Caenorhabditis elegans: one gene and its partner. The protein of the gene in region 2 purifies or fractionates together with the protein of the main gene of each other region. This does not show direct contact. Each region holds a gene or a part of one and is shown on either strand. Other genes may lie near its edges.

The links. The genes of interacting proteins can lie anywhere in the genome.
Region 1: the proteins of tmem-131 (region 2) and bpnt-1 fractionate together in Caenorhabditis elegans (co-fractionation; one large-scale study listed by BioGRID). This does not show direct contact.

What each region holds. Positions count from the first base shown.
Region 1 is NC_003280.10:4,416,777-4,423,393, forward strand, and holds bpnt-1 (3'(2'),5'-bisphosphate nucleotidase 1), read left to right. Parts: upstream 1-3,479; 5' UTR 3,480-3,531; coding exon 3,532-3,612; intron 3,613-3,746; coding exon 3,747-3,899; intron 3,900-3,961; coding exon 3,962-4,286; intron 4,287-5,035; coding exon 5,036-5,436; 3' UTR 5,437-5,543; downstream 5,544-6,617. Other genes in the region: sod-5 (Superoxide dismutase [Cu-Zn]), read left to right, coding at 909-950, 1,062-1,145, 1,734-1,892, 1,941-2,094, 2,140-2,237; dcaf-13 (DDB1- and CUL4-associated factor 13), read right to left, coding at 5,850-5,988, 6,212-6,466.
Region 2 is NC_003281.10:4,995,553-5,002,169, forward strand, and holds the start of tmem-131 (Transmembrane protein 131 homolog), read right to left. Parts: upstream 2,610-6,617; 5' UTR 2,582-2,609; coding exon 2,486-2,581; intron 2,442-2,485; coding exon 2,152-2,441; intron 1,981-2,151; coding exon 1,860-1,980; intron 1,814-1,859; coding exon 1,568-1,813; intron 1,296-1,567; coding exon 513-1,295; intron 424-512; coding exon 178-423; intron 129-177; coding exon 1-128. Other genes in the region: Guanine nucleotide exchange protein smcr-8, read left to right, coding at 3,831-3,990, 4,036-4,350, 4,399-4,545, 4,588-4,700, 4,747-5,138, 5,186-5,272, 5,311-5,373, 5,483-5,741; R144.10 (Coiled-coil domain-containing protein 25), read right to left, coding at 5,919-6,233, 6,285-6,332, 6,376-6,444, 6,490-6,546, 6,598-6,617. UniProt on the Caenorhabditis elegans protein: Collagen binding transmembrane protein involved in collagen secretion, probably by recruiting the ER-to-Golgi transport complex TRAPPIII. Required for normal development.

The DNA.
Region 1 (6,617 bases), on a different chromosome or scaffold from region 2:
TTCCATTTACAAAAGTGGCTAAACTTGGTTGAGGAGTGGGTAAAGTTGGGCTAATTTGGTGAAAGTTTGTTAAATCGGAAACATCTTTCACGCTGCTGCAACACATCTGTGAGTTTTTGCGCTGTAAATAATGGCGGAAGGATAGCATCTGCCTTGTCGTGGATTAGACCTTGCCTGCATTTTATCTCGCGCACGCGAAACTTTTCAACAGCATTTGAATAAGATGAGTACTCGAGTTCCGAGAAGATGGATTCCTGGGGCAAATTTGGAGTTTTTTTCAAAATATTCCAGAGATTTCGATACTCCGCTTTTTTAAATCATTATAAAATTTGAAGATTTCAAACATGATTTTCTTCACAAAAAAATAACGTGAAGTAATTGAAAATACTTAAATACACCGTCTCTTGGTGAATAAAAAATATTTTTAATAATTAGGTAATATATTAGACTATAACACATGTATTTATTGTATTAATTATACAATTGTAAAATTTCCAAAATTTTTTCAATTGAAAATTTCAAAAAATTTGAAATATAAAGTTTTGTGTCATATTCATCAAATTCTCAAAATATTTCGAGCGTTTCAAAGAAATGTCTAACCACTTCATAGTTTTTGAAGTTTTTTGGTCAATCAACTTTTAATATCAGAAAGAAGCTTCTAGAAATCCTATCCATTTCTAGTATCCTCATACTAAATATATTACCATCCATGTTTACTTCATCTCTGTCCCCTTTCCCATATGTTGTTTTGTCCTCTAATCTATGATCTCTTCGTTTTGTTTGTTGTTGTTGTTGGTCGTTGAGCTCTTATTGTACTAGAACATTCCTCCCCTTTTTTCCATCAGTTCGCTTCACATTCGCTGTCGTATTGTGAATATTGTGCTAACGAAAATTTTACTAAAAGGAAAATGGATATTCTCTCTGATATTGCCAATGCCGTTCTTCCACAGGTAAATGCGTTTATATTTTGGGACATTTTAAGTGGATGTATCATATAAAAAATTAATATTCGAAAATAAGACAATTATAATATGAAAACTTTAAATTAACTCACTTTACAGGACGTTGTTTCCAAAGTAGAGTCGAAACGTGCTGTAGCGGTTCTCCGTGGAACTGCTGTCTTCGGAACTGTTTGGCTTACCCAGGTGAGAACTGGTTGAAAGATTTTTTTTTGGTATTTTTAAAGATAAAGCATCGCCAATGAGATCAGAGAGTTTTCCCCAAAAATTATATTCTGTAGAAATATGTCAATTTTCGCCTATCATATAAAACGCAAAAATCACACCATTTGAAATGGAAGTACAATTGCGCTCCACTGCCAATTGGTCTCGTTAGGTATTGGCGACAGAACTGTAAAATCAAACTTTTTTATTTATTTTTGCTCCAAACTTTCAGTAGTTGTTCAATTGCATTTTTAATTATTTTCAGGCCAAATTTTTTTTAAAATGAATATTGTAAAAACCTAAAAGCCACGAAAAAACTGCCCAATACCTAACGAGACCCATATTATTATATTATTATATTATTTCGCGTCGGAGCGCGGTTGCACTTCAACTTCAAAAGGCGAGAAATTTTGGAATGGCACTAGGCGAAAACTGACATTTTCCATTAAAATATAAAATTTAAATTTTCTTACAATGTGTTTAATAGGAAATTTCCACACCGGAGTCATTCCACCATTAAAATAAATTGGGAAAAATCAAATCCCTATTTATTACTCTAGACCGTTTCAGAAAGCCGAAGGTGAAGAGACCGAATTCGAAGGAGAGATCAAGGGATTGTCACCAGGACTTCATGGATTCCATATCCATCAATATGGAGACTCAACCGATGGATGTACGTCTGCTGGGCCACACTTCAATCCATGCAAAATGAATCATGGAGGAAGAGATGTAAGTGATTTCACAGGCTATTTGTTATCTCTAAATGACTATTTTCAGTCCGTGGTCCGCCACGTTGGTGACCTTGGAAACGTTGAAGCTGGCGCCGATGGAGTTGCGAAGATCAAGTTCTCCGATAAGGTGGTCAGCCTCTTCGGAGCGAACACTGTTATCGGACGTTCCATGGTTGTCCACGTCGATCGAGATGATCTTGGTAAGCTTTCGACAGAAGGTTCTGATAAATATCAAAACATTTCAGGCCAGGGAATCGACGACAAGGCCGAGGAGTCTTTGAAGACTGGAAACGCTGGCGCTCGCGCTGCTTGTGGAGTCATTGCTCTTGCCGCTCCTGCATAAATCTTATTGACTGGACTCTTTTTTTCTAATTTATAAGATTTTTGACATTTTCCATGAGAAACACAAATCCTACTAATGTACATAGACTTTCGCTGCTTGTAAATAAACGTTTTATTTAGCTTTGAATTTTTTTTTCGGCAGGACCAGCGATTTCATGTTCAGAAATACGTCTTAAACTCAATAATATAAAATTCAAATGCCTGATATTTGAAAATGGAAGAATACTTTTGAAAAGTTCGGCCACGGCCAGGTTGTGTACTCCTCGTGGAGAAGAGTGTTTTTTGTTGCAAAGGATTATACAGTTTTCGCATAAAATACTTGATTTTTCTTTTTTTTTTGGATTTTTTCTCGTATTTTGATTCGAATTTCCTATTTATCACGAGTTTATAAAAGGAAAATTAAATTTTTTTTTGTATAAAACTTTAAAAAACGAGAATTTTTCTATTTTCAACCGTAAATACATCAATTTTCACCAATTCAACTTCGAATAAGAAGTGAATTAACAATTTTAATGTAAATTGCAAAAAAAAATCAGCATAAATGATCAGAAAATGAGAATTCTACCCGAAAACTACAGTATTACTTCTCCACGGGGAGTACACAAGCTGCGTAAATCGACACACGGCCGCGTTAGTCGTTTACGTGTTTTACATTAATTTAAAACGTATTTTTCATGTTTAAATAAACTTTGGAAGCCATTAAAAGCGGAAAATTAACTATTTTTGGCTATCGTAATTTTGTAAAATAAAATATTTAGAAAAAAATAATGTGATTTTCGATCAGTTATCAGTGATAAGCAAAGCAATTATATAACTTCCCACGCTTTTCACTGCATATATATAAATATCAGAAGAGGGATTCCTAATTGTCAGTCTTAACCGGCAAAAGATTTCCTCTAGAGATTTACTCTGCGTCTCCGCGGTGTCTGCACTCTCTCCTCGTCTACCTTCTTTATCTTCCCTTTTTACAGGCCATCTTTTGATCGTTAAATCGATTTTTCTCTTGAGAAAATCCATTTTTAAATCATTTTCACGTGGACGCCATGCTTTTTTAATATAAAATATAAATGTCGTCAGATTACGCACATTCTACGCAATCACCGATCAAATTAAATTTCTCGTTAACGAGAAAATTTTTTACCTCTTCGTTTTTTATCTTTTTTATCTCTCTTTTGCGATCCCCGCGTGTTGAACTCCACGTTGAAAAAATAAAAATCAGATAGAACAAAAAATGACGATTGCAGAGAAAACGAGAAGATCGAAAAACGGATGGAATGATTTCGGCACCAGTTGAAATGTTCAACAAAGCGAGTTTTCTCACGAGACTCGTCGCCTCGTCTGTCCGAGTTTCAGAGGCTGCCGGGGGTCTTATTAAAGTGAGTTTTTTTTAAATTTTAAAATATAGAATCTACTCGAAAAACTGTTAAAAAAGACCTCTCGTCAGGCCGAAAAGCTTAAAAAAATCAATAATTTAAGTTTAAAAATGGAAAAAAATTGTTTCGTCTTTCAGAATGTCATGGCCGGCGGAGATCTCAAAATCATCGATAAATCGGAGCACGGATCCGGCTACGATCCACAAACGGAAGCAGATCGTCGGGCTCAATACTGCATAGTTCAGTCTCTGCAGAAGCATTTCAAGAATATTAATATTATCGGCGAAGAGGTAAAAAATTAGAAGCTCTCAAAAATTAATTTAGAAAAGCATAAAATTTAATTTTTTTTCAGGAAGACACAACTGCTTGCCCGGAAATCGAAATGGGATTCAGTGCGGACGTGCTCCAAATGGAACGCCTGATGAGCACGGAGCTCAAGAATATCCAGGAAAATGATGTTGTAGTCTGGGTGGATCCGTTGGATGGAACATCAGAAGTCGCGTTGGCAGTTAAGAATAAGAATATGGCATTGTTGGAGCAGGTCACTGTGTTGATTGGAATCGCGTATAAGGGACGACCGGTGGCTGGAATTATTCATCAACCATATCATGAGAAGCTTGGAAGGACGGTTTGGGCGATTCAAGGTTGTGGAGTTCATGGAGTTGTTCCGGCTACTGGTAATTATTGATTAAAATTTTAAAAAAATATATTAAAAATGAAAATTTTCGCGAAAAAGTGCGATTTCGTACTCAAAATTACTGCCTGGTCCTGGTCCTAGCAAGAGGAAAATATTCTTCTTTCTGGTCTTGAAACGACCAAGTACTGTAATTCCAAATTTTCAAAAAAATTGATTTTTCATAGTTTTTCGGCAAAATTATATTTATTCATTTAAAAACCTCAAAATTTAACTATAAGAACACATTAAATTTTAACAAATTATACTAAAAACTATGAAAAATTTCGAAAAATTGATACAAAACAGAAGTTTGAACCTACAGTACTCCTTAAAGTCGCATACCTTTTTGCGTTTACAAAAATTTGTAGTTTCGAGACCAGGTACCGTATTTTTTCGCGCAAAACTCGTAAAATGTAGCTTTTAATAATACCGAAAACATTTATCAAATAAAAAAAACCATTTTCCGTATTTGTCACCAAAAATTACCACTTTTCAGCTACAGTACCCAGGTGTTTTAGTTTTTTTTAAAGAAAAAATTACGAAAAACACTGGAATCGCGAGTAAAAAAAATTCCGCTCGAGACCGTAATTTTTGGGAAAAAATCGCAAAAAAAAAACAATTTTCGAATAAAATAAAATTGTGCAAAAAATTTCAAAAATGTTTAATCAATCAGTCATGAACCTTTAAAACTAGAGTACCCCCGATTTTTTCGCTGCTTTTTACAATTTTTCAATAAATTATATTTTCCAGGAAATGCTCAAAAAATCGTGGTGACAACTCGAAGCCATCTCAGCGAATCTGTCTCCAACGCCCTCGAAGCTCTGAAAACTCGAAATTTGGCGGATAGCGTTGAAAAAGTCGGTGGAGCCGGATTCAAGGTGCTCAAAGTTCTGGAAGGGTGTGCAGCGTATGTCTTTGCAAGTGCTGGTTGTAAGAAATGGGACACGTGTGCAGTTGAAGCCGTGTTGACTGCTGCTGGAGGAACTCTTACGGACATTTCGGGCCGTGATATTCGATATGAGCCCGGTGTGCAGCTTAATAATACGGGAGGAGTACTGGCGACGGCTTCATGGGTCAAGCATAAGGATTATATCGATACGATTCCACAAGAAATCAAGAATATGTTGCCGGAGATTTCATCGAAAAAGTGATCTGAAGCATTCCAAATTTAATTTTTTTCCTTTTTAATATCATTTTCTTTCATGTCTAAATATTTTTCTTTCTTTTTTTAGTGTTGTAAATGAAATTATGAATTATCAAATTTTTTTTTAAATTTTCGATTTTACGGAAAATCGATAAAAAAACATAATTATTTTCTTCGAAAAAAAAAATGAAAAAATGGCCGAAAAATCGAGATTTTTTTTTTTGAAATAAAATCGAAAATTTTTCGATTCTTCGGTTAATTTTTTTGTTTTTCGAATTTCTCTAAATAATTTTTTTTTGATTTAGCGGTATTTAAAAACAAGGATTTTTTTTGGGAAAAATAGGAGAACAACCAAAAAAAAAAAGTGTGATAAACTTGAAAACAACAACAAATAACAAAAGAAAAAACGACGCTGCTGCTTCACATTTCGGCATCTCCAACCATAATCTTCTGAGTCTGTGGCAGATATGATTCCTCCTCGTCGAGTCCAGCGGCTTTTGCTCGTCGGAAATCTCGTCGTCCGCGGGCGTCTCTGATAAGCTTGTGCTCCTTGGCGGCTCTGAAAATTGTTTAGTTTTGCTTTGGAATTTCCACAAAATGTTGTTTTTCCAAAACGAACATTAGTGAGAAAATACAGAAAATCACTTGATTTCTCTGAAAATAATATTATTTTCAGCAGCATAAATGCTATTTTCAGAGAAATCAAGTGATTTTCTTCATTTTGGCACTATTTTTCAGTGTAATTGGCCAAAAATTCTGAATTTTTTCTGCAAAAAACCCACGTGAAAATATGTCTTGGCACATTGCGATGCTTTGCGATTCTTCGTACTTCTGGATGGTTCTTATAGGTATCTCGAAGTTTTTCATTATAAGCGAAAGCTTGTTTCTCTCGTTTTGTGAGTGGTCCAAGCTTCTCCGCGGCATTCGCTTTCCAGACACGAATATTCATTTCGTTACTTCCAGATAGAACGAATTTCGAATCAGCAGACCAGAGTACGGAGAGGACTGAGGCCATTCGTTTTGTGTAGTAGACGTCTCTGAAATTGTAGAATTCGAATTAATTCTAATTTTGAAGTTTATATTTTAAAATTTTGGAGTGCTAGATTAGGGGTGGGCGGCAAACGATTTTTCCAGCAAATCACCAAATTGCCGGAATTGACTATTCCGGCAAATCGGCAAACTGGCAAA
Region 2 (6,617 bases):
TCATTTCGAACATCAGAAAAGTTTCCGATCGACTTGACACCAACTTCGTAGAGTCGGTAAGCCGAACGATGTGGTACAGCAAGATTTTTGAGACGCATCTCAGCTCGATTGTGATTCCAAACCACGAACTGAAATTATAAATTGAAATGTTATAACTTTATTTTAATTTTTTCTTACTCGAATTGTCCTTGTGTCATTCCTTTCAACAAAACCGAAATCAAATGAATTTTTATCCACAGATATCAACTCAACGTTCATTCTTCCTGTATAGGTTGATAGGCTTAAATTAAAAGTGGAAACATTTGTGTGTAGATAAATTGTAGAGTTATCGAATGTTGGTGGTAGTTTCTTATTGTATTTCAGAACAAAGACTGGTGAAATGTGGCCGGAACGGATGAGGGCAGTGCGATCAATGAGTCGAACCTGAAAGAAGAGAAAATAATAACTAGGATAATTCAGTTTTGAGAATTTGAACTTTAAAAATTTCCCAAAAAAAAATTATGAGAACTTACAGAAAAGTGGGAGACCAATTCTGGAGCCAATGTAATATTGAAAATAGCCACATCGAATGGCAACTGATTTTCAATTCGAATAATTCTTTGATGAGGTGGTCTCAAATCTTCTTGAATCGATAAATCATTTCCAATCGGGAGAAGGTCTCCACGAAATACATCGGCTCGATACGGAATGCTAACATTATAGTTTCCACCTCTAGAAACTGCAATAATGTGCCCACTAATATGTTTCATCTGTTGTTGAGGTGACATTTGTACTCGATTTCCTTCTAGATATACTTTTACAAGATCTGCTTTTGGTCCCAATGTGACGCTTCCCTTTGTTGGTGGATATACTATAATTGGTGGATGTGAAGCAAATTCCATATAAATTGCTGTATGATCTCCTTTCTCTACGTATAGAGTCTCGAATTCCAACCTTCCTCCAATTTGATATTGAACCACAGAAAATACTTTGGCCTCTGATTTCATCCCTTGTCGAATAAGTCCAAAATCCAAAATTTCATCTGTTGCATACACTCCGCGACGTTTCAGAACTTCAATTGGTACGGTTAAATAGATATCCGTATTCGGTTTGCGATGCTCAGAGCTCAAATAAATTTCAGATCCAATTCGAACAAATACTGTCGAATTTTCAGAAGTTGCTCCAACTAGGACCAGCGTAGCGATTTGTTTGGATTGATATGGACGAATATCCCAATATTGTAGTGGTTCTTCAGCCAATTTACTGTCAACTTCATGAGGAAGTTCTATGTGAGCATTTCCTCCAGATGTTCCGATCTATAAATTTTGTTAAATTAAACTAATTTAGAAGTAAATAATTATTAAATTCAATTATATAGGCGAAATAATTGAAGATTTTCGAAAATTGGTCATTTGAAAGTTTTGAAATGTTACAAAAATGAAAATGTATCTATTTTTCTCACAAAAACTAGTATTTTTTCGATTCAAAACTATTTTAAATACAAAATTTTTTTTTTATATTTATTTAAACAACGTCCTTTGAATGTATTTTTATCATCTCCGTGAAATTTTTCATTTAAAAAACAAACCTCGGTAATTCTCATTGTATACGCGTACGGATTGAAAATAACAATTGGCTTTGAAATAGATGAATTCATCGGAAGACGATAACCAGTAAATGGTGATATACGATATGGATTTGAATCACAATTTCCCTGCATTTTGTATGTGAATACTCCAACAGAAGTGTAAAAATGAACAATTGTCGATCGTTTTCCAATTTCTCGTGGTAGGAAGACCACTTCCAATGATGTAACACCATGTGGCTCAAGCTTCTGAAATTATCAAGAAATAATTGATTTTTGAGTAGAGAAAACTCACATATTGCTCAAAATATGAAGCTTGAAATTCAATAGAGTTGACAACAACTGCATCGAGGAATATCTGTTCATTTCTCATATTTCGAATGTAGATTTTGCGTTTCTGCGCGGTACCGACAGAACTGAAAAAAAATGCATACTTGGAAGGTTTTTTAAATTAATCAAAATTTTTGTTATCATACTTAAAATGGCCCCAAAATGTCGAATTTCATAACGAGACATTCCAAAAATTGCATTTTTTCAAAGTCTCGTTATGAAGTTCGATCTTTTGAGTATAATTAAAAATTATTCACTTTTGCCCAAAATCCATCATTGGTGGATCCATCTCCATTGGAAGTTTCCCTTTTCCAGACAATTTCAACACGTTGAATGTTTTCGTCGCATGGTTCTTGTTGGCTTCTTTCGGACAATTTCCTTCACAAACTCCTTTAATTGAATCATAAACTGGCAATTGATGCACATTTTCGGGTCGAATAGGATGATTGAGATAGTGAAGCTCTTCACCGATTTGAACAAATGCGGTATGAAGAACTGGAATCTCGTGAAGCTGGGATGCGGACACTTCTTCTGGAAGAGGCCATGCCTGAAATTGATTTTTTAATGTGAATTTCTGAGGCTAAACCATACCTGCTGATCTGCAAAAGTTGAAGTGATTAAAAGAGAAATTAGGAAGAAATATATCGTCCGATATCTGTTTGAAGTTTTGTGTATTGATGGAACCATTTGAGCATTTGGTAAATTGAGAGTTTCTCTGAAAAAACGAATAAATTTTTTTCTATAGGTTTTCTGAGTAAGATAATTAAAAAGCACAATAAAACGGAAATCAGTTTTTATTGCTTATTTTTTGCTTATTTGCTTATGCAACATGGATGATACGTGGAATTGAACGGCACTAAGAGATTTCTCCAGGGAAATAAAAAAGTGAGAGACAACGGCAAAGGCGACGTCGACTTCAATTGGGAAGGATAACTGGGAGAAGAGATAGTGTTTGATTTGGAGAGACCCAGTATTCGGCATCTTGGGAAGAAGAAGATACAGTCGTCGTGAGACGCAGAACAAATAGGATCGATCGATTTTTGAGGGAAAATAGAGATGTTGAACACGTCATCACACCATTATAAGAGAAAGAAGAACGAAGAAATCTGGTTTGGAAAAGTGAAGAGAGAAAAAAGAAAAAGGGCTTTTTTCGGTGAAAAATGAGTGGAATCAAGTGAATAAAACAAAGACAAAGTGATAACCATCTGTCATCTAGGTCAAGGCAGTCAGGAAAAAAGTCTATAGCTGTCAACCGCAGGCTAGTTTTATTACCTCGGGTATGAATATTAATGAAGCATTAAAATATTGAGCGCTTGGATTTACATAGAATTTAGAAAATCAGAAAACAGTCTTTATTTAGCAGAACAATTGTGGAAATTATGGACACATTTTTTTTGTAATCAGAAAATGATTTTCTTCGGCTATTGTTGTTAACAAACACGCGAAAAATAGAATATTTGACAGAGTATACTATAAATATCAAAAATATGTCTTAAATAATTCCGAATATGCAAATTTCTGCGCGAAAACGTTCAAAACTGACGATTAAAAACCAGAAAAACTACAGAAACAAATTACAGTTATTTCAGCCGTGTGGAGAATCCTCGGCCACGGCCACCAGAACAATATCTCCTGACTGCAGTGACTGGTTTTCCGATGTTTACACTGCTGGAAGTTACTTCATTGTTCTTTTGCAAACAATTTCGCTTGGAAAATATTGATTTAATTTAACTTGAACGTAAATTGACTTTTAAATTGATTAATGAGTAGTTTTATAGAGGGTTTTGGTTACTGTAGCTTTAAAGGCGCATGCTTGAAAAGTTTTAATGAAGGAAACTCTTCCATAATTTGCAAACATTTTCACTTTTGTTTTTTAAGCCGTTTTCTGCTGAATTCGTCTTTTTATTATGAAATTAAAATTGTATTAATTTCAGAAATGATTTCATTCGAGGATTTTCTCCTCCGACCATCCAAAGTCGTCGATCCATTCAACAGATTCGTCGCAAAAATTGATCCATTTCTGACTCTTGTCGAATTTTGCCAAGTTATCGGACCAAAACCACTAGCGGTAGTTTCTCAGCGGCCAGATGATAAAAGTAAATATTTATACACAATTTTCTCGAATAAATGCTAATTTTCAGTCCGCGGAGTTGACATAAACGATATGGCAATCTGGTTGATGTCGTCTGATACTGTTCCGGGTACAATGATTGTGTTGGAAAACAATCAAACGGGTGTATATGCGGCCGCATATTATTTTAATTTGTACGACATGAGAGCAAGAGCTTTTCAAAGAAATTTATGCATCGCCTATTTATGTTCGGAGAAGCCAACAAAAGAAACTTTGAACCTATTCTCATCAGCTATGAAAAAATTAGTTTCACCAGTTTTGATTTGCAATCGACGTCTGTTTATTCGCCATGTCACTGATATTGTCAAGTTTTCGGACAGTGTTGGTAAGTTTTTTTTCTTCGATTTTTTAAACAAATTGTTACCATTTTCAGATGAAACCACCCTGAAACAGTACTATACACTGAATGGAGATTCACAAAAGTTGTCAGACGGAAGCAGATTCAATGTAGTTTTCGAGCAAACCAGGCTTCTAAAAAGCAAATTTTTGACGAAAAGATTTCAAGAAATGGCTTTTGATGGTGAACAAAACGTTGAGACTTTGATTTAGAATTATATTTCAGATGACATTTGCTGTGGTCACAATGCAGAAAACATGAACGAAGCTGAAGATATTATTTGCTCATTCCGAGTTCCATCAATTCCATTGAGTCCTGTGGAAACTCTCACTCCATGTGTAAGATTTTAAAACCTTTGTTGCCTATAAAAATTAAATTATACAGGCGTATTCATCCATAATTCCAAAACTACGCCAACTATGCTCCGAACTATGTTCATCAGGAAGCCCTAATAGAAATTCTACTCATGGAGCTCTTTTCTGTGGACACCGTCCCATCGCAACTACATCACCAGCCGCCACTACAACTTTGCCTTGGAACACTGATTCAGGAAAATCTGATAATGATAAAAACGGAGAAGAAACTCTAAAAGAAGTAACTGGACACCTGGGAGATGTCATATTTCCATTGCTTTGTGGAGAAGATTTGGTAGTTTGTGGAGCAGAACAGAGAAAGAGTACTGTAGAAGATATGCTCGGGAAATTGAGCAGAGTTGTTCCAAGAGAAAGTGCTCGGAATGTAGAAGAAAATATCAAAATCGAAAAGGATCCAAATAGGTAAATAATCAGAAAACATTCAATTCTAAAATTTGGTAATTTTTCAGAATAGGCAATGGATTGGGCGGTCTGCTATGTAATAGAAATGAGACCGGAAAATTGGCAAGATGGAGAAATGTTCTTGATATGAATAGGTAATAAAAATTCAAAAAAAAAAAAATATCGGTTTCAGAAGTGCTCTCAAGACGTTTACCTACGATGGATCATTGCTAGCTGGTCTCAATAAGAAAAGAAAGTGAGTAACATTTATGGACTTATTTCCTTATCTTGTCAAACAATTAAGTGCAAATAAGGGGATAAGTTCAGTTAAGATATACACTCTCCTAACAATAAACGCCTTTCAGGTTCCCATCTGATCGTTCCCTGGTCCTTTTTATAATTGCCTATTTGACAAATATTTGTCAGCTTGCATTCATCTGTCGATATATGTTCATCAAATCTCCGAACTCTATCGAAAAAGCATTGGGAGATCAGCAGAAACTGAGCTCAGACGACGAAAGAATATTGATCAACTTGCTGATGGGAATCGACTTCGAAAAATTCAACCAACTCAAAGTATCATCCAAAGACGGGGCAAAGCCGAGTAGAACCATCAATTTGTGATTTAAAAATTTGAATATTTATGAAACAATAAAAAAAATCAAATTCAGTCTGATACAATACAAGCTGTCATTGAAACAAAACATAATTATAGATGATATGAACAGTAATTAGAAGAAGGAAAATTTTAAAAATAAGGACGACAGAGCATTGATTTACGACAATGCATTCGGAGAACTTTCATCTTTTGATGATATCCTGTTTCATTTGGTTGATTTCAGCCCAAAAGTCTGCCTTGTCACGATTTCTAGCCAATTCAGCCGCCTTCTTGAACTCTTCAAAAGACTGCTTCAGAATGGCGAGCTCTTGACGCAAATTAGTGTTTTCCGCCACGAGATGAGCGATTTCTTTTTCATGTTGTTCTAAAACTCGGTCATCTTCTTCGTCTGGCTCTGTCATTGATCGTTTTGACTTTTTATAATGAGCCTTTGGTTCAGTTGGCCAGTGACAGATGATTTCTGGTTTATCAATGTCCGGGATTCTCACTTTGCACACCTGGAAATGTAATTTTGATTAACGAACGCTTTTGTTAATAAGAAATCTCACCATATATTCTGAATTATTGCATTTCACGTACATGTTCGAAAGAACAAGCTGTAAAATAAAAAATAACACTCGAAAGCTGAATTTATCTTACATCAACACTTCCTGAAATAAAATCCACTTTGTCAGCAACAGTCGGGTGTTTAAGCAGATTTTCGAAGTCCTAAACAGTTTTTAATAATTTTTGCAATGATGTTGGCCAGTTTACCTCTTTGCCGATGACGTGGGTAGTTGGCATCCAAGAAAGGTATTTTTTGGTATCTTTCTGAAAAATAGTTGATTTTAGAATTAAGTAGTTTTCAAAATTAGGCGTTACACTGTAATCTCGTCTCCATT